Linked DNA regions of Caenorhabditis elegans. The protein of the gene in region 2 purifies or fractionates together with the protein of the main gene of each other region. This does not show direct contact. Each region holds a gene or a part of one and is shown on either strand. Other genes may lie near its edges.

Region 1 (7,189 bases), on a different chromosome or scaffold from region 2:
ATACCAATATCCAAGACATCATCTAATCCTATTTTATTTTCATTAATTCCGTCTGTAACCCTCCATAAGCTCCGCCCATTCTCTCATCCTCTTCTACAACACAATTATAGTAATTCTCTTATTGATGGTTGCAGCTGCTGCAAAAGAAGTAGTTTCCTCTTGTTCCTCACTCTTTTTGGGTGGTGGTCACCTCTCGTCTCCACCCATTTTGTCCCTCCCGTCTTCATTTTCCAAAAAGAGGGTGCCCAATGTCCACTCTTCGTAACCCCGGGTAACTCCGCGCGGCGACTCTCCGCACCTTCCGCACTCTTCGATTATTTCTTGCTTTCTTGTCATTTCCTTTTTCAAAATATTTTGAAATTCATGCTGCCCTTTCTTGTGTTCTGAACCTTCTTACGAATTCGAGTCTTTGGTCCCAACTATAGTCCCATCGTCTTTTCACTATACTTATTTTTGTTTTTCTCCCAAATCACATTACGTTTTCGAGAGTACTCCCTTCTTGATTACTATAATAATCATTATTATTCTTATGATTATTAAAGACATTTGTATAATCTTCTTTGTTTTGCACAGCACTTGTTTTTCAGCTCAATCTCTTCCTCCAAATAATAACTAATTGAAAACAATGAGAGCCCGTTCGAGTTCCGTAACCGTTCTATACGACAGGAGAAATCGAAAAGGTTTGCTTTCGTTTTTCTTTCATTTTTCATATAATCAAAATTATACCCCTTTGCAATCTTTACAGGTGTTTCTCTTGATAGAAACAATAATTATGCATCTCGTGAAGTTGAAAAACAACCTAGAATGGTTCATACATCATCTCGTCACGTCAATGAAGGATTTTTTGGAGTGAGTCAGAACATGAACCTGAGCCAATCTTGTTTTTTTTCAACATTAATAATGGGGGATAAGTACAACTATACACTTTTCGTATATATGTGCACTTTCTGAATGTCCATTCCATTTCCGTCCACTCGTTTTTTTTTTCATTTTTCTTTTTACTTTTACTTATTACTTTTTTGAGCAAGTTGTGAGTCTCCAGATGTTTCTGTTATTGCATCATATGCTTGGTACGGGGACTAGTACGGAAATGGGAACGAAGAAAGAATAAGAGAGTCACCGGAAATGGTCCCAATAGGTATTTTTTGTATATGTTTATGGGATGTTGACTCATCGAACAAAATGTCTAGGGTTGAGAATGTTTTGAAAGCTAAGTGAATCAACGATCAGAATTTGATTGTGATTATAGGTTTGAACATGTTTCTTCAGTTTCTTCAGTTCATTCATAGTATCGGTTGCAGTTCGGCAATTGAGGGTATTCCCCTTGTCCATATTTCTTTTTGATCCTTGGAAGCCTCGCAATCGTGGCTTTGAAATTAAAATTTTTACTGATAAAATTTTGAATTTCCCGTACTTTGCCAGTTAAAAGAACTGTTATCTATGAGGGTCCATACAAAAAAGCATTTAAATTGAAAGAATTCACCAATTTTTACAAAATTGACAAGAACAACAAAGTAACCTTCAAACTTCGAAATATTTACCTCATGCTCCCAATAAACTTCCAACGTTTGGCCGATTTTTCACTTCAGTAAGCATGCTTGTCTGTCCCGATCTTTTGTTGATACGTTGTGTCAAAAGTTTTTAAAAGTTCAAAATTTACGTAATACCCAAATAAAACATGTCTACTTTCTGCAATTACTGCCAAAGATCTACGAAAGAAATGTTCCACCTCATTGACTTTAGCGACCTATTTAACAAATATTTTACTTTTAGCAAACGAACACTTCTGGAAAATGTTTTTTGAACGCAAAGGCCTTGTTCCATTTTCCTTCTCGGCACATCCGTCATAACAATAACTTGTAGTATGTTCAAGGGACAAACCGCTTCTGGGTTTAGGTTAGAATATGCATAAGAAATTGGGATGAGGGAAATACTACATTCCGGATAGTTAGGCAACAGATCATGTCACTAATGGAATCTTTCAGCGTCTCACTTTCTTCATTCAACTTTCATTTCTTTATTTAGGTTTCCAAATGGATCCAACGTGTTGACGGGCGTCAAGACATTGAAAAGCAATACGAGATTGGGGCTATTATTGGCAAAGGAAATTTCTCGAGTGTGCATTTAACTCGACGCAAGGAAGATGGCACCAAATGTGCGCTTAAGGTTCGGTACCAGTCAACATTGCAATTTTCATTTCCTTCAAAGTTTTTTCAGCAAGTTGAGAAAAGAGCAATGCGAGGGAAATGCTTTTTTGTGGACAATGAGGTGGAGATGTTGTCACTCATTCAACATGATCACATCATATCGATTATCGATGCTTTTAGCACTGAAAATCAATACTTCATAGTTTTCGAACATGCACAGGTGAATGATACTCCCAGTTTTGAACAATAACGTGCAAAACTTGACAACACAGTTTGAAAAAAAAAGATTTTTTCAGTACGGGGACTTATATGAAACTATCCGTAAAAATGGTCGAATCGAGGAACCAGATGCTGCTATCATAACTCTCCAAGTTGCATCTGCACTCAATTATCTTCACGAAAGAAATGTGGTTCACAGAGATGTCAAACCTGAAAATCTTCTTCTCGTTGACAAATTTAGTGTGAAGCTTTGCGATTTTGGATTGGCATGTCACATTCTTGGACCTCTGTACCGTATCTGTGGAACCCCAACCTATTGCGCACCAGAAGTTCTTCGGGAGACCGGATATTCGACAAGATGTGATATTTGGTCCCTTGGAGTTGTTCTTTATGTTATGCTTGTTGGATATGCTCCATTCCGTGCACCAGATCAAACCAGATTATTCAAACTTATAATGCAAGCTAAACCAAATCTGGATATGCCAGAATGGAAAGGAATTTCATTGAGTGAGTTGACTGAAACTGAATCTCTAGAAAAAAAATTATTCATAGAAAAAGGAGCAAATTTTCAGAGGCTAAAGATTTGGTATCTCGCTTGATGAATAAAACTGAAGAACGCCGACCACTTGCATCCCAAATAATGGCTCATCCATGGATTGCTCCATACACCATGGAAAATATTGATGATGAATGAATGAAGAAAATTTATAAGTATTGCCCGGTGCCAATGTCTTTCCTTTTCTTGCATATTGATTTGAATAAATAAAATGTACAGTTAAATTTATAAGTTTTCAAAATCTCTTCAAGATAAAAAAACGTGCTCCTATTAAAAAACAGATACATAAAAGTATATTAAAATTGATAAACGCAAACAATTTCTACTTTTTTCGCAGTGTGAGCGGCTGAAAGATTGAACTATTTCCGATGAAAGATGGTGAAAGCCCGTGACTGATGGTTATCCAAAAGACAGTTTCGATGCACTTTTCACGTCAAAATTATATATTTTTAACAACTTTCCTCTTTATAAATACCAAGTTGTAACATATAATCAACTGACCATATCTGGTATTCATTTGTTACATGAACTGGTTCCGGCATTAAGCATCCCCGTCTCTTATGTACATTCATTTGTTCATTCACACCACAAAAGCCATTTAACAATGTCGTTCAATCTAAGAAAACACCAAAGTATTCTTCCAAGTAGCATGATTTTAATGTTTCTTTGCTTTTTTCTTTTAATATTTTCGGTGATAATGAGTCATTTTTCAATCGAGATTAAAGAATTTGATAAGGATGGTGGAATCAAGTATAAACCAGAGTTTGTTTATTCCTTGGTAGGTATGTGATGTTTTTGATTAATTTTCCTGCAGTCTGATTTTCAGAAACCAGAGAATTACTGACCAATGTTTGTAAACTTCCATATATTTTCTTTCCGAATGAAGATGAGGACGTTTTTGGACTTACACCGGACAAATCGAAACAACATATTGTGAGGTGAGGAAAATTGAATTATGCAGAAAATCCAATGAATAACATTTCAAGAGGCGAATGCAAAATAAATGAACTGAATGAAAAGGTTGACTTATCATCTGACGGATATTTGACACTTCGATCAAAAAATACAAATGATTTACCCTCTGATATAAGGTTTGAACTATTTAATTTTTTGTCTTCAATAAGTCAATAACTCAACATATAACTTCAGATGCACCTTTTACAAAAATAGTGGGCCAAATGAGCACCCAATTAAGGTATGAAAGTTAAAATTAAATCTTTAATAATCATAAACATCAGGTTGAAAAAAATGTGCCCGTTAAAGTTCCATTCTACAATTTTGCTTTTGCTTGCGAAAGAAACGGTATTGTTGAATTTCTGAAACCCTTTGTGAATTTTGCATCAATTCCAAAAGTAAGATGAGTTAACAATAGAATCTAAAATTCAACACCATTTTAGAAATCAAACGGGGGATCAATTGCCATAATATTTCTTCCAGCAATAAATCACAAACTATTTATGAAGAAAATGCCGTTGAGTAAGCATTTCATGCAAGACAACCAGTTCAGATTTGCACAATTTATGAGCAAAGTAAGATGTTACTCGATTTTGTAATTATCAATATCGCTAATATTCAGAATGAACCAAATTCAATGCAAGATTTGTTACTACAACTTGGAATTTCAAATAAAATTAATATGTTCAGAAAAGCAAAGCAAAATAATTTTACAACTTTTTTCTCTGGTCCACAACAAATCAGATATATGATTGATGTAGATTATGATACTTTGGATCATCAGAATTTCATAACACAATTCTTAATTGATGGAAACTTATGTTTGAAAAATGGAAAAGTAAGTTTTATATTTCAAAAAAAGTTTATATCACAATTTTTCTAGAAATTAGTAAATGATCAATTGGAAAAAATCGGAGCATTTCTGACATCAACAGCAGATTCCAAGGTGTTTTCAGCAATGTTTATTGATGAATATGATGAATATCGTAGACAATCAATTGATCAAGATTTGAAGTATTATAAAAGTTTTTGAGGAAAAAAACGGACCTTTTTTCAGAAAAATGTTGGATCTATTAAAGGAATCAAACATTTTCGAGAACACTACACTAATCATCACTTCGTACGACTTATCAACAAAGTGAGATTCTTATTTACATTACATGTTAATTTGAACAATTTGCAGAGATATTGAAAACGAAAACGACAAATATCCAATGTTTGCTTTTCGTCCATCCAACCAATTCATAGAAAATAATAATCAGAAACTATATTTCATGAATATGAATTTCAACAGGTTAGGTCTAAAAATTATATTTAAAAAGAATATCTGAGTTTAGGTTATTGTCTTCTACTAATTTCAATCAAATGCTTGTTGAATTAATCAATCCGAAAGAAAAATCTTCAAAATCTGTCTTCATAGCTCAACCAACATCAAGGAACTGTACGTCTGAAGGAATATCAGAAAATATATGTTTATGCATGAATATGGTAATTTCTTTGAAAGTCGGAGAAAAATATAATTATACTTTCAATGTTTAGAGTACATCCTCTGGGTATCCTGAAAAAGGCGAAAAAAACTTCCTTCAAACATTGCGAACAAGATTTACACAAGAAGTGAAAACACACAAATGTGTTCGTTCGTTTGAACTTGAAGATTATAAAATTTTTTATGAATACTCAATTGGAACGTGCGTTATTTTATTTGTATTTCTCTACAATTAGATAAACTGTTGTTCAGAAGTAAGGAAGTACGTGGCGTAGAATTGACCGGATTTGTGAATATTATCAGTTCAAGGGGTAAGGTAAGTTCAATTAATTTTATCTTTTTTTGTTGCAACTAATTTGTTTTTTTTTCCAGAAAACCCTTTTGCTGAAAAAGATGTTCACCTTCAAACCGGAGTTTGCTTCATTTAATAGTTTCGATACAGCAAGGGTTGTTGTCGGTTATGAAGTTAACATTGGTATTGCAAGGTAGGGATTTCCGGTGGAAATTGTTTATTTATTAATCTGTTTTCAGCATGTGTGATTTGTAAAACAACAATCTCACAGGCACTGGCAAAGATTAATACGAGATTCCAAATTTCAGAATGTCACATATCTCACTATATAGTTTGTTCTTATTATTTTTCAAATTATATATGAAATTGATTTTAAGCATATTGTTTTTTTTCCAAAACTGACCCACATAAACAACGAATTTTCATCCCCCGTTTCACCTCATTTCTTTCGTCCTTCCTAGTTTTTCCCTCGCTTTCCATTCTCCTTTTTATTCGATTTTACGCCCTTTTCATCAGCTTTTCCCCTCAATCCTTATCAAATTCCATTACATCACCATGTTCCTCTGTGTTCTGTGATTGTTTCCATATCAATTAGTTCTGTACAGATGACCACCTTTTGTCCGAATCCCCAGCCCGTCTCGTTCGTCACGTTTTTCACTCACTTTCTTCTTCAGTTCGGTTCCACAAACGGCTTCCGTCTGCGTCTCTGAACATTGTTTCACTGTTTCTTCTCTCTTTTTTTTGTCTACTGAGACATACAAAACCTTGTAATAATATCTAGATGCAGGTCTCACCTTACTGTACTATTTTTCGAGATCTGAATTTCCTCGAGACTATTAAAGACGGACTGAAACAGTGGCTACTTCTGTAGAGTGAAGCCATGTTTGAATGTTTGAAGGCCGTTCCTCTAGATTTTTATAGCTTTTATCGGAATTGCCCATCATCATCAAATTAATAATATCGTATTCCTTTCCGATTCATATTCGCACCTTGCCATTCCATTTGTCTGAACTGTTCCATTTCCATCTCTCATTCATTACATTCACCTACATTCTCATTTGCAGATGCATACTCTCTCCATTTTATTACCTTTTCTACTTGTGTTATCCACATTTTCTCAAGTATCTCATGAGTTCCGGCATAAAGCTTTTCGAACATTGAAAACTCCAAAAGTCAATAAACAAAGGTTATCTTTGATTATTCAAAGACTACGTATGAATGATACCACTAGAATAAATGGAGAAGGTATGTAATTTGAATGGGAATTTAAATACAATTGAAAGGTTTCAGAAAACTGCCCTATGTTCCAATCATTTTCTCATTGTGCCTGTGAATCAACCTGCAACAATCCAGACCCGGTAAGAACCTTTTTTCTCAAATCCAATCGTAAATAACAGGCAAAGTTTCCAATAGTACTATTATCGGTATAATTCAAAAAATTCCAGTATTGCTCTAAATGTGAGCCTGGATGCACTTGTCGAAATGGATTTGTTCGGAATTCTCTCAAATTGTGTGTTCTACCGGAAGAATGCCCA
Region 2 (7,389 bases):
AATTCCAAGAATCAAAACAACCGGAAATAGTTTTTTGTAAAAGTTCAAAAAGAGCATGAGAGAGAGACGAGAGAGCGCTATGTGCTCTTGATGTTAAAGCAAACGAAGAACTGATAAAAAGTAATTGATAATAAAGAAGAGAAATAGAGATACGAAAGAGAATGAAATTGGGAAACATGGTAATAGGATTGGAATCTTAGGTATGGCACTTGTGTCGACAGTATTTAGAAGCCGATTACTGTCATTTCCAGGTGAAATTTGTGATTAAATTTCAGGTCTTAACATCAATTATCACAGTTAATATTGCTTAGAACAATTTTTCGTTGTGTTAAAGGTACTGGTAGATGTTTTCAAAATGTTCAGTAAACGTTTTGGCAGATTGCCAAATTAAAAAAAAAAACTTTTTGAAAAAGTCTTGCGTGTCAGATTTCCTGAAAAATTCTACGAACTACAAGAGTGTAAGTCTATTAATATATATACTTTTTTCCCAACTTTCCAATTGCAAAAAGCTGGTCACCATATTTCCTCTATTAGGGATCTAGTAGTATTGCAACTCTGCGAACTAAGAGAAAAGTTGCAATACTATAAATATTCCCAATATACTATTTTTTTCGCACAAGAGAAAATAGAAAAATGTGAGTTGATGAGTAGGAAAAATTGTTCTATCTGATTTTTGTCATTATTTCTTCGATATCTTCAATGTTTCAAGGACAACAAATTATAGCAATGAAATTATACAAATTAAAAATAAAATAGTAACGCAGGGGGTACGGTAAGTTCAGAAAATTAAAATATCGATGTTCATTTGGCAATGACAAAAACATGGCATAACATACCACACCCGGTCTATAAATAGATTGAGAATTCAAATGTTTCGTAATTTTGACCACAAAAAATAAATTCACAAGTGTTTTCAAAAAAACCGGGAGGGAGCAAGGAAGCCACGTCCGCATGATAGTCGACAAAAAGTGGGGGAAAAGGCCATAAAGATAAGCAATTGAGAGCAAGAGAAACGTGTACGCGGATGTGACGATCGAAAGGTAAAAAGTAGATCAGAACGGGTTAAAATCAGATATTATTTGGAGCAAAAAAGGACCAAAGAGTCAAAGGGTTTTATTCCCAAAACATTTCTGGGAGATTACAGATGCCTTAATGCTAAATACTACATCTAACATTGTGAAAATTTGTTTTGAAAAATACTAAAAGAGGAAAAAATTGCTATGATTCAAACTCTTCAATAAGATCAACTCAGCCTAATTGGAAATATACTACAATCATTTCTATGTTATTACAGTTGTTATATGATTTACCTTTCACCTCTCATAGAACTTCCATATATTGTTTAGCAGATGTAGTGATAATGATTCAGGTACTCTACAAAAAATTGGATACAAAAATGCCAATATATGGGCGTGGCTTCACAAAGAGCAGTTCAGAAATTCGTCTTCTATGATTCTCAAGAAAATTGCCAAAAGTATTCCTATTCCAGACTAAATAGATCTATTTGAAAAATTTTTATGAGAAGTGCAGTTAATACTTGTCAATAACTTGGAAGGATCTAAAATCAAAAATTTAATATAGGATGTACCGTTTTTATTTTTTAAAGTACTCGAAAATATATATCATTTTAATTTCACACCTCTCTAAAATAACAATTTTAAAAAATTAGAAAAATCATAAATAGGCTTCCCTAGTTACATATATATTCATAAACTAGAAAATGAATAATAATTCATTCTTATCAAAAACTGAAACTAGTCTCTGGAATCAATAAACCAATTCAAATCGTGCCATTGCGGCCGAAGAGCGCTAATAAATTAGCTTGTAAAACTTTGGCAGTGTCGTCAGTGCCTGTGATGATAAGAGAACCGTCCTCTAGCACATTACATGCAAAGTAGTACAATCTGTTAATTTATCAGTAGACACGTGGTGGTCGCCACAAAGCTGAAACTGATGTTCGATAAATGACTAAGCGTTTATTCAACTGACAAAAAATGACATATTTACAGTATCTGGATAAGACAAAATCTACACATTCAGAATTTATTGAATAGTTCTTCTAATTCCTGAATGGCTTTAACTGGTCTATCACAAACGAATCCTTTACACATGTACACTGCAGGTTTCGGTCCTTCAGCCATTGCCTTATGAGAAGGTCCCGATGCTGACAAATCTTCTTCTGATTGAATATGTACAACAGACAGGTTATTCAAGAACTTTTGATTCAGTCGGCTTCGAGTTTCGGACAAAAGTTCAGATTTCGGATCACCAACGAGAACAAATGTGGTAGATCCAATTTGCCATCGATGAAGTGCGACTGCCATTTTTGGTAGGGCGATTGGGACCCTAAAATTAAAAATGTTGCGAGCTCAAGCAAAAGTTGTTCGATATTACGTATTCAGTCGCTCTGAAGCTCCCCGGAAACACTGATTCGCCTTCTCACGATATTCCTCCTTTTCAAGAATGTCATAAAGCCTAAGAAGGTTGTTTGATGCGATTGAAGTGGCTGTGGGCTCTGCTCCATCTTGATCTGAAATTTAAGTGTTATGTGTACTAATCAAAATTAAAATAGTAACCTTCAATCATTCTCACAGAAACATCTTCATCGGTTTTCTCGCTGATGAAGTATCCATTTCCGTTCCAGAACTTTACATCACAAATTTTCTGAAGCTCAACGGCTTTCTTGAGATATTCATCTTTGCCAACTGTTGTATAGAGATCCAAAAGAGCTTGAATCAAAAACGCATAATCGTCAGAAAATGCTCTTATTTCTTGATTGCCTTGTTCAACTTCTCCATTAGCACCCAAATATACAGATCTTCTAAGCTCTCCATTATCGTCTAAAAATTTTCCGATGAATTCTGCACACTTTTCAGCTCGATCCAAATATTTTGTTTCTTCAGTAGCTTGATATGCTTTCACAAGTCCTGTGATTGCTAGTCCTTGCCACGAAGTAACCATTTTTGAATCAAGATGTGGGCTTGGTCTTTGTGTTCGAGCATTCCACAAAATTTCTTTTGCTTCATCGATTCCTTTCTTGAGTTCCGCAACAGATATTTCGTGATTCGTGGCACACTCCTCATCAGTCAGCAACTTTCTCAGGACATTTTTATTCTTCAGTTCACCATGGGGATCCGAAGATCGTGCAACATTTCCACTATCTTCAACATCGAAATAATCAGCAACTACATCGAAAAGTGAAGCTGATCCAATTTTCTTGTCTCCCAATAATTGTTTAATTTCTTCTTTCTCCCAAGCACAAAACGCTCCTTCAACTTTATTCGAAGAATTATGATTTGGCAAGGAATCAGCATCTTCTGCAGCATAGAATCCACCATCTTTATGACTGATCTTTTGCATGTATTGGTAGATGTCATTAATGACATGCTTTACATTATCATGTTTTCTTTCTGTCAATTTATGAAAATCTGAATATGTAGCCAATAGCTGAGATTGATCATACAACATTTTCTCAAAATGTGGAATATGCCATTCGGATCCGACAGAATATCGATGAAATCCATTTCCAATATGATCATGGATTCCTCCATCAGCCATTGATTCCAAAGTTTTTTGAAGCATCATGATACTGTCTTTGGCTTTTTCGGATTCATTCTCGCTTGCAGCAAAAGTGATTAGAAAATCTAAATCACAAGCTTTTGGAAATTTCGGAGCTCTGCCAAATCCTCCAAGTCTGCTGTCAAAAGATGATTGTTTGTGAGAATATATTGATTTGAACACTTCTTCGGATCTATTGACATCCCCAGAAGCAGTTTCAGGTTGAAGAAGTTTGATAATTTGGGCTCCGCGTTGTTTCAAACTCTCTCCTTCTTTTTTCCACTGAAAAATTTTAAAACTTTGGCTAATTTTTAAATGAAAAGATTTTGTGGCACCTACTTCAGTATGAATCATGTTGAGGATAGTTGGAAAGCCGAGCATTCCACGGTTGTCGTCTGGTGGAAAATAGGTTCCGCCAGTGATTGGATGAAGATCCGGTGTTAGGAAAACTGACATTGGCCATCCACCGTGTCCACTTGAAGCCTGAGATGGAGATATTGATTAAAACAATTTTAATTTTGTTTCATACCACGACAAAAGCCATATAGAGTTTATCAACGTCTGGTCGTTCTTCTCTGTCAACTTTGATAGCCACGAAGTTGTCGTTCAGGATTTTTGCTGTTGCCTCATTTTCAAATGATTCTTTTTCCATCACATGACACCAGTGACAAGTTGAATATCCAACTGAAATATTAAAGTTTGTTTGATAATATATTTTGATTATCTACCTGACAGGAAGATAGGTTTGTTATTATCTTTAGCCTTCTGGAATGCTTCTTGTCCCCACGGATACCAATCGATGGGATTGTTTGCATGCTGGAGGAGGTAAGGACTCTTTTCCTGTCCAAGACGATTTTTGTACGTTGAAGTCCTGATTTGTTTTGCTTTACAATTTTCATAATTGAATAAACTTACATTCGGATAACAGTTATTGGTGCAAGCGCTCTTAACATCAACACTGTCTCTGAATTGTTATCTTTTCTAAAATAAATTATCACTAACACGAGCTACCATGAAGTATCATAGAGTAACCAACATTTTTTCCAAATTTCTACTCAAGGTTAAATATTCTCAAACACATTGAATGGAGATCAAATTACTTCATAAAAAATATAAAATAAGTTATTCAGATAGTTAGGCGTCATCAAGAGGATTCTTCTCTGGAGGCGGTCCACACGGCTGAATCATGCGATTTATCAGATTGAAGCGGGTTCGAGCTCGGCTCTCGTTCTCCACAACGGCAATATACGTGTTCATTCCGGGATGAGACATTTGAAAGGCGCGAGTGTCGCGGTGCTGGAATATTATTTGTTTATTCAAACTTTCTATAGATTTTGGCAGTAGCCGTTTACCGTTTTAAAGAAATTTATGAGAAAAAGAGAGAAACAAACCTGATTCACAATCCATTCGTGACGGTTCATGTCGCATGGCCGTACCGGTGTATTTCGATTGAAGATGCTCCAATTGAGCAAGAACGTGGAATCGTTCTCCGGGAAGAGCCATTTTCTGGAAATCTACTAATATTTAACGAAGAAACCAATGTAACAGTGAATTTATATAAATAAAAAAGAGGGAACACATGAAACTTATAGATAAAAGATTATTTAAGAAGTCGTCGCTGTTTTTAAAAACGATAAAAAAAACAAGTGTCGTAAGAATGCGCGCACGAGGTGTAATCGGTGTTTGCGTACTTGTCCACCGTACTCCTATTCGAAAATGTTTTCTTGATCAAAATTGTTAAATTTATATTCAGAATTATTTCGTTTTCAAGATAAAATCATTATGAGCGACCACTTGGGAAGTTCTCATGACGAAGGTGAGCTGTCAGATGAAAGTCACAAGAAAAGTAAGTAGGTTTCACAAGTTTTGAGTGTAACTTATTATTTCTAGGTCAAAGAGCGTCGAGTTCCGATGAGCCAAATCCAGCCAAGTCGAACAAAGGTATATAAAGTGATTAAATTTGAAACTACTAATTATAAATTTCAGGTTTGGAATCAAAAATGCGTGAAAGCATATTAAGTCGTCTGAGCAAGCGGAAGAACAGTGAAAGCGATGATGATACCACAGAACAACGGTTTTCAATACAGCCTAAAAACGCTGTATGTTAATTTTTGTGTATTACTGTTTTAAAATTATTAATTCACAGCAAAAGGCAAAAGAGGACCGATATCGAGATAAAGAAAGAGATAAAAAACGGGAAAAGGACAAACGAGATGACAGAAGAGACGTGCGTGGACCAGATGCTCGACAAAAAGATCGTGATTTCAAAGGTAATCAGCAAATAGAATAAGAGGTACTTATTAATACTTTTAGGACGACAGGAAAGATCTGGAAGAGATCAGAAAGTACATGAACATAGACATCATCACCATCATAGAAAACACGAAACAGATGGGCACCGCACAAACAGAAGTAACAGAGATCGTTCGTCTGAAAGAGACTCAGAAAAACACAAAAGGCATATTGATCGTCATAAAAAGTAAGTTCGTTTCTTTCTGAAAAGAAATTAATAATTTTTGTTTGATTTTTTAGATCCAGCACAACTTCTCCTGATAATGACAAATCGCCACACAAAAAGTCAAAACATACAGATGTTCCAGCAGATGCAAAGCTCTTTGATAGAAGTATTTTAAACCACATACATTTTATAGTGATTTAATTTTGAAAATTTCAGTTCTCGACCCGAACTACAAAAAGAAAGATGACGATGTTCTCGTGATTGAAGATGTAGAAATGTCGCCAATTGAGATATTAGAAGAAAAGGAAGAGAAAGAAATTGTCGAATTCACTATAGACTCACCAGCTGGCCCCAAGAAATACTCAAAATTCGAAAGCGACCCAGAAAGTGATCATGACGATACTAAACCGAAGAGCCCTGGAAAAGCTGAAGACGGTAAAAATTTGCCCAGTATCAAAATTGAAACAATTAAGTTATACTTTTATTCATTTAAATCAATTATAGATGACGATGTCATAGAAGTATTGGATGATGCTCTACATTCGGATGATGATGCAGATAGCGATGAAGATAAATATTTAAAAACACCAGAAGATCGAGAATGGGAAGAAATGACTGAAACTGAACAAAGACTTCATAAAGAAGCAATGAAAAAACGTGCGTCAATGAAACAAAAAACATTGATCGCCCAGTTACCTGTTTTTTATCCCGGTCTCATGGGATGTAGAAATATTGATGAATATGAATGTGTGAATCGAGTTGATGAAGGAACATTTGGAGTTGTATATCGTGGAAAAGATAAACGAACGGATGAGATTGTCGCGTTAAAAAGACTGAAAATGGAGAAAGAGAAAGAAGGATTTCCAATCACTGCTCTTCGTGAAATCAATATGCTTCTAAAAGCTGGAAATCACCCGAATATTGTGAATGTTAAAGAAATTCTACTAGGAAGTAATATGGATAAGATCTACATGGCTATGGAGTTTGTTGAACATGACATGAAAAGTCTTTTAGACACAATGTCTCGTCGAAACAAACGATTTTCGATAGGTGAACAGAAAACACTTCTGCAGCAACTGCTATCTGGAATTGAACACATGCATAAACTTTGGATTCTGCATCGTGATCTCAAAACATCCAATTTATTGATGTCTCACAAGGGAATTCTGAAAATTGCCGATTTTGGACTTGCTCGTGAATATGGAGATCCACTGAAAAAGTTTACATCAATTGTTGTAACTCTCTGGTATCGATCACCGGAATTGCTTCTTGGTACACGTCTCTATTCAACTCCCGTTGATATGTGGTCTGTTGGATGTATTATGGCAGAGTTTATTCTCTTAAAACCATTGTTCCCGGGACGCGGTGAACTT
Region 3 (9,444 bases), on a different chromosome or scaffold from region 2:
GATGACCAGTATGCAATAAATATAATGTGTTGGTGGTGGCGGTGGTGGAGTAATCTACCATCCCATCTTGACGTAGCGGATGATCTCGAAGACGGCTGAAAAAAAGGAACATATTGAAGTGAATTAAAATAAAAGATTTTTGCAATTTTTTATTCTTGCTTATGCTTAAAATCTATCGATAAGCTAGGCGAAGGCAATAGGCGAAAATTGATGCCAAAAATGTGCCTAAATCCTGCCTTGGTAAACTTGGTAAACCAGGTCAATGAAAAATGTCAAAAGTTGACTAAGTTTACGGGTATCTACTAAAATTATTTTTTGAAGGATTTTTTTTGAACTTATAAATTTTTTTTCACAGAGCTACCTACATTATGTTACATGAAAGACCTCACCAATTGAAAAAAAAACCAAAAAAACTACTTACCGGATCCGCAGACGACAAAGACGAAAAGTCCGATGAGCCATGGGGCGGCTGGGTACTTGTCCTCGGCTGGCTTCAAGCTCTTGGCAACATTTCCGCGGTTGTTCACGTTCTTGGAGAATTGCTTGTTAGCAAGTGTCATACGTTGCTTTGGGGCCATGTTGAGAGACTTGTGGAAGATTTAGGTTCTGAAAAATTGATATATTTTTAATTGGAACTATCAAAAAAAAAACGATAGTAATTAGTTCGGTTTGAGAAACAAAATAAAAGAATGAATAACAAATTGCTGAATATCAAGAGAGGGCGAACAGATAGGGAAAAAGAGAAAAGAGCTGAGTGACCCAAATGTGCGGAGAAGGGCGAGGAATTACGAATGAATGTAGGCCGAACGTAGACGAGGCCGCCACGCGAGGCAGTGCAGCTGTGGAACCGACCGACGCAGCACGCCCGCAACGACGCATGGGGGTACGGTAAACGACGTCATGGTGCGTCGTGTTGCAGACTGCAAACACGCAACAAGTGAAGACGCACCACTTTCCGATAGGATGGGAGAGGAGGAGGAGGTGGGGGGAAGAGTGAAGAGACACAGACAGATTTGGTTTATAGAGACTATTGGATAGTCAATTTGTATAGTGTTTTTTTTGGGAATTTGACTGACCAGGAAGTGAGTGGAGCAAACGGGCTGTTTTGCTAAAATCTCTTTCCACATCGAAAAAAAGAACAGTTTTGAAAAATGAGTACAATAAATTTACAGGATATTGAAAAAAAGTGCCGATTAATTCTGAAAAAACTTTGAAAAAAACAATTCAGAACTGACAGCTCATAAGTAATACATATAAAAGGTTCTGGAAAATGTTATCTAATTTTTAAATTAAGAAAAAGTGTTTAATTTGGAAAATATTATAATGTGAAAATTTTCCAAACACACATCCAAATTGTCCTTCATACCTGTTCCAAAAAAAAAACAAAAAATAATGTTGCTAATAAAATTAACATGCATAAAAATAAATTTTTTGGTAGGAAAACTGGTGTTGCAAGATTTTTGACTTTCTGAAAGTCATAATTTTTCAAAGAGTTGACTCATTTTTATTTAAAAAACAGAAGCTTTTGGAAAAATATTTTTAAAAAAGATCCAAACACATCACATTACATATAACATTTAAGTCAACAGCAAAATTGAGCAAGAAATATTACAAAATTTGTTTTAATACAAGAAAATTAAAGTTAAGTTTTTTTGATATTTCCGAGAACTGACATTATTATATATTTCTAATTAATTGTTTTCCGACAGTTAAACTTTGCAATCTGGAATTTCTTCAATTACAGTGACGAATTATAGTAAGTGAGCAAAAATTTGGAGTGAAAGTTTTATAGTACCTTAAGGCTTTGAAAAGAAATTTTTCTTCAATTTGCCAACTTAAATTTTTCTAATTAATTTTTATAAATTGCCAGAAAATTGTTAGACTCCTTGTTAAATTCCTGATTGAACAAACAAATACATTTGTGTTAAGAAACCACGTTTCAATTGAATTATTAATTGTTTCAGTTTCCATTTATTCAAAACGAGAAAATATAATATAGAAAAAATGGATTCCGAAAACAAAAATCCCAAATAAATGCCATGTTTGATATCTAAAAACTTAAATTTTACAAGTGTGGGGGAATAATTCTCAAGAACGGAAGAACATTTTGTATCATGTTTTTATTTAACTTTCAAGATGCGGTGTTTATCTTGCACTCACAAATTTTTTTATCAGAAACTATCTATTCAAATCTGTTTTTTTTTTGTCAAACTACATAGCTCAATCTCAACTTACCCAGTTAAATATGCGACCAGGAAATTTTGTTCCAAAGAAAAAATGAAACCGATAAATTTAAAGTTGGAGTAGCGCCAGTGGGGAAAATGCTTTAAGACATGTATATGGTACCACAATGACCAAATATCATTGTAAAAAAATTTCTAAATTTCATATGATTTTTTGAACATTGAAAAAATCTCGAATTGCATCAACTTCCTATTTGAATTACCGCCAATAATTCGATGTTCGATGGAGCGCGTTTGTATTATTCTAACTTTTATTTATCAATTTTTTTTATTTTTGATTGATTTTTCATGTTTTTTTTTGAGTAATTTTACTGGAAATTTAATGGAAAATTCAAGAGAAATGTAAATTTGTTATTAAAAAGCGGGCGCTGAAGCCTAAATCTGTGAAATAGAATATTTCAGGCTCAACGTCGTTGGAAAACGTTATTTCTTTTTTTTTCAATTATTTTTAGTGAACAATCTACATTTATCTTGAATTTTTCATTAAATTTCTAGTAAAATTACACAAAAAACATGAAAAATCAATCAAAACTAAGAAAAATTGATAAATAAAAGTTAAAATAATGCAAGCGCGCACCATCAAACATCGAACTATTGGCGGTAATTCAATTAGGAATTTGATGCAATTCGAGATTTTTTCAATTTTCAAAAAATCATATAAAATTTAGAAATTTTTTTAAAAAATTTTTACTATGAGGTTTGGTCATTGTGGCACCATAGGCATGTTTTAAAGCATTTTCCCCACTGGCGCTACTCCACCTTTAATCTCATAATCAATTGTGCGGTTATTTTTGTCAATTTTTTGCACCAAGCGTATTTTTAAGAAATTATCAAAACTCTCTCCCTTTTTTGTATAATCAATATTCTTATAAACAAATTAATCCAGTTTAATCAGTCTTCGCGTCTACGTCTCCATGTTTTCAATTGACTCTCCGAGATAACAGGAATGCCTAACGACTACACTGTTGTCGTTGCGTTCATTTCATAAACACTTATTTGCACGTTTTTTCTTACGTGTTTTTTTCTATTTTCGTGTATCTCTGTTTTTTATAGATTTTCCTATAAGTCATATAAAAAGTTTTTTTTTTAAAGACAGTCTATTTAATCAAAGTATACTACAGTTTGAAGCAATTTCTTCAAAAGTGTTTCTATTATATTGGAACCGTAGTATAGTTTTAAACCAACGTTATCAATAAAGTTCCTTGTTATCATTTTTCCCGTTGTTAGCACGTAGTGTCCCATGTAGCCAGTCTATTTATTAGTACTTTTTAAGCAAGTTGTGTTGCTCTGCTAAAAAACTTTGATTTTTTTGTTGTTTTTTTTTTCTTCTAATTTTTCAAAGAAAAAATTTTGTACATATGTATTTCTATCAACTTACCTCTTTTTAGGAACTCACTGAAATTTTTGAAATGAGTCGATGGATTCAGCCAGGCGATAATGTAGACATTACCAATGAACGGAAAAAAGCTACGTTTGACACAGAACGTATGTCAGCTTGGATACATGGAGGGACTGAAGTTATGAAGGTAAGCTTTAGTCTGCATTTGCTAGAAAAAGGTAAATATTAATTCGAAAATTTATATTATTAACTTTTATGGATGATTTTCCAATCTTAATTCAAAAATTATGCCAAAATAAATAACGGAGCTTCCAAAAACAGTTAGTTATTTGGAAAAAAATTCTTAATGTTCAGCGTCGCCGTGAAATTCTGGATTTTGTCAAAAGCGTTGACGACTTCAAAGATCCGGTTCCAACAGAGTTTATGTCTCGCGAAGAACGCATTCTGAACAATGCTCGTAAAGTTGTGGCAATGACAAATAACACCGATCAGATTGATGGATCTGACTTCTTCGGAGAAGGAATGTATTATCAAGCGTCAGTTTTTTTTTGGGAATTTGGTAAAAACATATTAACTGAAAATAATTTAAGATTGACGATGGGCCGTGATCTTCATGCAATGTCGCTTCATTACGTTATGTTTATTCCAACACTTCAAGGTACTATTTTTAGAGAAGTAGAAACCTGAAAATGTTTTCTTCGGAACATTAGAAGTTGTTCCAATATAAAATTTTCAAAAAGAGACTTTTGAAAAATGTTCAAAGTTAAATTCAATTAACTCAAAAAATCACGCATTATTGGCAGTTGCAGCTTTTGATCTTGAGTAGTTTTAAATCTTAAAACTTTTGATCAAACTTTACATTTCAAATGCAACTGTAGTGAAAAAAAAATCTTAAAGGTGGAGTAGCACCAGTGGGGGAAATCTTAAAAACCACTCCAATTGTCTCAAAATGACCAAATATAATAATAAAACTCTTACAAAACTTTTTTGACAATTTTTTATTTAATGTCAAAAAGTGACAATTACTCAGTTTCTGCCACTCATAATTTTGGAAGTCGACCAAAAAAAAAAGTTTTTTTCTTCATTTTTTATACTGTAATTTTGTTTTAACTATTAGTATTAAAACGTTGTAGGGGTCGGGACATGCGACATTGCTTTGAAATTCCTCAAAAACTCATATGTTTCAAAATTTTGGCAACTTGCCAAATAGGTGTAATTTGGCAAAATCCCCAGTGGCGCTACTCCACCTTTAATAGTTCATATTCAATTTAACACTTGCACGGGGCTCCCATGTCGACCCCGAAAACAACTCTCTCACGGTGCGCTCCAAAATTTTTATAGCGGTGCGCGGAACCTAAAAAGTGTCGGACGCGGAGCCACGTTTTCACAAAATAGTGCGATAGGGTATGTCACCATTTGGTGGAGACTTGGCTCCGCGTCCGACACTTTTTGGGTTCCGCGCATCGCTATAAAGACCCCTACTTGCATTTATGATGTAAATCAGAAATCCACGTTAAAATCCAAATTTATCAAATAAAACTTTCTCAGGTCAAACTGACGATGATCAACTGGACGAGTGGCTTACCAAAGCAATTTCCCGTGCAGTAGTTGGAACTTATGCTCAAACAGAACTCGGTCATGGTACAAACCTTTCAAAACTGGAAACCACTGCAACTTATGATCCAGCCACAGAAGAGTTTGTTATGAACTCGCCAACAATCACTGCAGCCAAGTAAGTATTCAAAATGTGATAAGAAATGTGATGGTCTTAATTAAGATGGTGGCCGGGAGGCTTGGGTAAATCGTCGAACTACGCTGTGGTTGTTGCACAGTTGTACACAAAAGGAGAGTGTAAAGGACCTCATCCGTTCATTGTGCAACTTCGCGATGAAGACACTCACTATCCACTCAAGGGAATTCGTTTGGGAGATATTGGACCAAAACTTGGCATCAATGGAAATGACAATGGATTCTTACTTTTCGATAAAGTCAGAATTCCAAGAAAAGCATTGCTGATGAGATACGCAAAAGTGAATCCAGATGGAACTTACATTGCTCCGGCTCATTCCAAATTGGGATATGGAACTATGGTGTTTGTGAGATCAATTATGATCAAGGATCAGTCGACTCAACTTGCGGCAGCTGCAACAATTGCTACGAGATATGCAGCAGTGAGAAGACAGGGAGAAATCACTCCAGGGTAAGTAAGGGTTAATCTGGCTTAAAGGAGGACTAACGGTTCCGACGATTTTGAACGTATAGACCCAAAATGAGCTCGAATGAACGAATTTCGTAATGAAACTGCTCAAAAAAGTTTCAAAAAATTTTTATGGCGGTTCAAAATTTTGAAAAAATTACACTGATTTTGGCTAAAATCGCAAATTTTTCCCATTTTTCTGTGTCACATCATTTCGAAGTTGGATTTTTTGGAATTATCGTCCTTTATTACATATATTGGTGGTTTATCTCATTTAATTTCGTCGATTAAGGTACATTTAAAGCCGATAGGTGACCAAAAATCATCGAAATTGGTTACCTATCGGCTTTAAATGTGCCTTAATCGACGAAATTAAATAAGATAAACTACCAATATGTGTAATAAAGGACGATAATTCCAAAAAAGCTAACTTCGAACAGATGTGACACGGAAAAATGGGAAAATTCGCGATTTTAGCCAAAATCTGTGTAATTTTTTCAAAATTTTGAACCGCCACAAAAAATTTTTGAAAACCTTTTGAGCAGTTTCATTACGAAATTCGTTTATTTGAGCTCATTTTGGGTCTATACGTTCAAAATCGTCCGAACCGTTAGTCCTCCTTTACGTATGAGAAATGTGTACTTTAAAGGTGGAGTAGCGCCAGTGGCGATTTTGTCTAAATGCACTTATAATGATTCAAAACAACAAGAATATCATAATAAAACGCTTTAAAAAATTTTAGATTTTTCATAATTTCCGGTCAAAGTTTTGGCAAATTGCCAAAATTTTGAAAAATACTAGCTTTTGAGAAAATTTGAAGAAATGTCGCATGTTCCGACCTCTACAGTGTTTTAATACAAATAATTTGAACAAAATTAAATCATAAATAATGTCGAAAAAAAAATGTTTTTTTGGTCGACTTCCAAAATTATGAGTGGCAAAATCTGAGTAATTGCCATTTTTTGACAGTAAATAAAAATTTTTCGAAAATTTTTTGAAAAGTTTTATCATAATATTTGGCCATTTTGAGACCAACAGAGTATTTTTTTAAAACTATTTCTCCACTGGCGCTACTTCACCTTTAAATTGTTCAAAAGTTAAAAAAAAGTTCTTAAAATCCTGTCTCACATTATATATTCAGAAAAGGGGAAGTTCAAATCATTGACTACCAAACCCAACAATTTCGTGTCTTCCCTCAACTCGCCAGAGCGTTTGCTTTCATGGCAGCGGCCACTGAAATCCGTGATCTCTACATGACAGTCACCGAGCAGCTTACACATGGAAACACCGAACTTCTCGCCGAGCTTCATGTCTTGTCTTCCGGTCTCAAGTCGTTAGTGTCGTGGGATACTGCTCAAGGAATTGAGCAATGCAGATTGGCGTGTGGAGGTCATGGGTATTCACAAGCTTCTGGATTCCCAGAAATCTATGGATATGCTGTTGGTGGATGCACTTACGAGGGTGAAAATATTGTGATGCTTCTGCAAGTAGCAAGGTGAGATAAAGAACAAGTTCTGATCACTGATATTTAACAAAGACTTATCTTTCAGATTCCTGATGAAAGCAGCCGAAGGAGTTAGAAAAGGAACTGCTAACCTAGCAGACATCGGAGCTTACATTGGAAAGCCTGGAAGGAAAACCTCGCGCTTAACAACTCACCACCACTACACAGATGCTGATATCGTTGAAGATCTTGAGCACGTTGCTCGCAAACAAGTATTCCGAGCCTACGACCGCCTGAAAAAGGCTCAGGAGCATCTTCGTCCGGAAGATGCTTGGAACTCGGTTTCTGTGGAACTTGCTAAAGCTTCGAGATGGCACGTTCGTCTGTATCTCGTGAAGAACTTATTGCACAAAGTTTCTATTGCTCCTCAGGATTTGAAGATTGTGCTCTTCGATGTTGCTCGGCTGTATGCTTATGACATCATTACATCATCAATTGGAGCATTTTTGGAGGATGGCTACATGAGCTCTAATCAGATGAATGAAGTTAAAGAAGGTATTTATAAGTGAGTAAAAAACTTGGAAAGTGGTGATTGCTCATAATTGTCTATTTTCAGATGCTTGTCCAATATGCGTCCAAATGCGGTTGGCCTAGTTGACTGTTGGGATTATGACGATAAAGAGCTCAAATCAGTTTTGGGAAGACGTGACGGAAACGTGTACCCTGCTCTTCTCCAGTGGGCTCAAAATAGTCAACTCAACAGATCGGAAGTTCTTCCGGCCTACGAAAAGTATCTTGGTCCAATGATGAAAGACGCTCGATCAAAATTGTAATCGGTTGTTTTTTTGTTGCTGTATAGTTATATAAATATTTATTATTACGATTTAAAAAAAAGAAAAAGCTTATTTTTTATATATTCTTCAATATTGGCTACATATCCGTGTTGCAGCGGTCATAAATCAGCTTTTATTTAATTATCATATTTTATTCTAGAAGATTATTACCAGTAAATACAGTGTATTTTTTTCTACTTCTACGGCTTTAAAGGGGGGCGCATTTACGTGCGATGGTCTCGAAACGCGCCACTCATTGATTTTTGGGGTGCGTGGCGAGACCATTTGGTTTTTTTGGTTCCAAAAAAATCGATTTTTCGTCAAAATACAAAAAAAAAACCAGAATACAAAAAACAAAAAAACCAAAAAATTCCCAGCCCTGATTGTTATCTGCAACATGGTACATCAACTGGTCTGTAACGAAAATCAGAGCGTTTCAGGACACTCTAGAACACCTATCGCGTTTCTACGTACCAAATTTTGTCTAAAAATACCCAAATGAGACGTCAAAACACTTTTGGACGTTACAAAATTGCAAACTGTGTTCAGTTTCATTTTTAAATTCATTGTTTTTATCGAAAAATGTCAAAAATTTGAGGGGACGCCTTGAAGTTAGGCGGTCATTTTTATGATTTTTTCACCTAATTTATGTAGTTTTCCATATATTTTCATAAAAATTTTGGACAGGGGGTTTTTGACATTTGGAATCGAATGACATTAACCATTTTTTGATAAAAAATTCAGAATGTGGTAGAGTTCAAAAGTTAAGGGAGCGCTATAGAAGTTGGGCGCAGTGTACATACAAACGTAGAAAATTCAAATGTTCTGAGAAAAATATTATTTTTATTTGAAAATATCGTACCATATTTCAAGATATCGAATAAAATTTTATTGAGAAACTTTTTTTAGAAGAAAAACTAGAAAACAATTAAATTTAATACATAAAGCATATGACCCATCTTTCTTTTTTGACCCTTCCAATATGTTCACCGACTTTCGACTGCCGAAGTTATGTTTCCCTCTTTTGTAATCATCGAGCACATGCTGAAATCAATTTTTTTATACATTTTCATGTTTCGGTTTGTTATTCATCCGCTTACCTACGCGGTAAATCTAACATGCAACAATAGCAGTCATCCAATGTGTTGTTTAAACGTTGGCGCTGAAAAACAAAATTCAAAGAATTAAAATCAATACACACAAAAAAAACTTACTTTAATTGTGAGCTGTTTGCTATACTGACTCCCGGTGCTTCTTACAAACATTTGCTTATGATGTCGGTAGACGTCTTCATCATGATCATTGAGCTCTTCCAGACTGTACTCATACCAGACAAAGTGATTTCGTAGAGAAACAGCGTTTTCAACCCGTAAGGCACTGAAAATACG

The links. Proteins that work in one complex are often made in the same cells at the same time.
Region 1: the proteins of B0495.5 (region 2) and F32D8.2 fractionate together in Caenorhabditis elegans (co-fractionation; one large-scale study listed by BioGRID). This does not show direct contact.
Region 3: the proteins of B0495.5 (region 2) and acox-1.6 fractionate together in Caenorhabditis elegans (co-fractionation; one large-scale study listed by BioGRID). This does not show direct contact.

What each region holds. Positions count from the first base shown.
Region 1 is NC_003283.11:10,880,252-10,887,440, forward strand, and holds F32D8.2 (ATPase_AAA_core domain-containing protein), read left to right. Parts: upstream 1-3,526; coding exon 3,527-3,704; intron 3,705-3,748; coding exon 3,749-3,860; intron 3,861-3,908; coding exon 3,909-4,013; intron 4,014-4,071; coding exon 4,072-4,117; intron 4,118-4,160; coding exon 4,161-4,274; intron 4,275-4,319; coding exon 4,320-4,451; intron 4,452-4,498; coding exon 4,499-4,714; intron 4,715-4,759; coding exon 4,760-4,890; intron 4,891-4,933; coding exon 4,934-5,014; intron 5,015-5,059; coding exon 5,060-5,170; intron 5,171-5,213; coding exon 5,214-5,364; intron 5,365-5,415; coding exon 5,416-5,564; intron 5,565-5,614; coding exon 5,615-5,678; intron 5,679-5,734; coding exon 5,735-5,851; downstream 5,852-7,189. Other genes in the region: cat-6 (Protein kinase domain-containing protein), read left to right, coding at 626-680, 746-849, 2,026-2,166, 2,218-2,367, 2,444-2,873, 2,939-3,060; F32D8.3 (TIL domain-containing protein), read left to right, coding at 6,719-6,899, 6,945-7,012, 7,100-7,189.
Region 2 is NC_003280.10:7,693,973-7,701,361, forward strand, and holds B0495.5 (thioredoxin domain-containing protein), read right to left. Parts: upstream 4,523-7,389; 5' UTR 4,512-4,522; coding exon 4,474-4,511; intron 4,430-4,473; coding exon 4,287-4,429; intron 4,243-4,286; coding exon 4,088-4,242; intron 4,042-4,087; coding exon 3,898-4,041; intron 3,841-3,897; coding exon 2,577-3,840; intron 2,531-2,576; coding exon 2,395-2,530; intron 2,347-2,394; coding exon 2,037-2,346; 3' UTR 1,963-2,036; downstream 1-1,962. Other genes in the region: Protein moa-2, read right to left, coding at 4,703-4,854, 4,950-5,061; cdk-11.1 (Cyclin-dependent kinase 11.1), read left to right, coding at 5,341-5,404, 5,449-5,499, 5,545-5,657, 5,705-5,828, 5,872-6,037, 6,091-6,182, 6,233-6,451, 6,521-7,389.
Region 3 is NC_003284.9:15,832,734-15,842,177, reverse strand, and holds acox-1.6 (Acyl-coenzyme A oxidase), read left to right. Parts: upstream 1-3,631; 5' UTR 3,632-3,652; coding exon 3,653-3,769; intron 3,770-3,936; coding exon 3,937-4,118; intron 4,119-4,172; coding exon 4,173-4,240; intron 4,241-5,130; coding exon 5,131-5,314; intron 5,315-5,359; coding exon 5,360-5,782; intron 5,783-6,920; coding exon 6,921-7,274; intron 7,275-7,329; coding exon 7,330-7,788; intron 7,789-7,839; coding exon 7,840-8,056; 3' UTR 8,057-8,106; downstream 8,107-9,444. Other genes in the region: serp-1.1 (Stress-associated endoplasmic reticulum protein 2), read right to left, coding at 55-95, 422-578.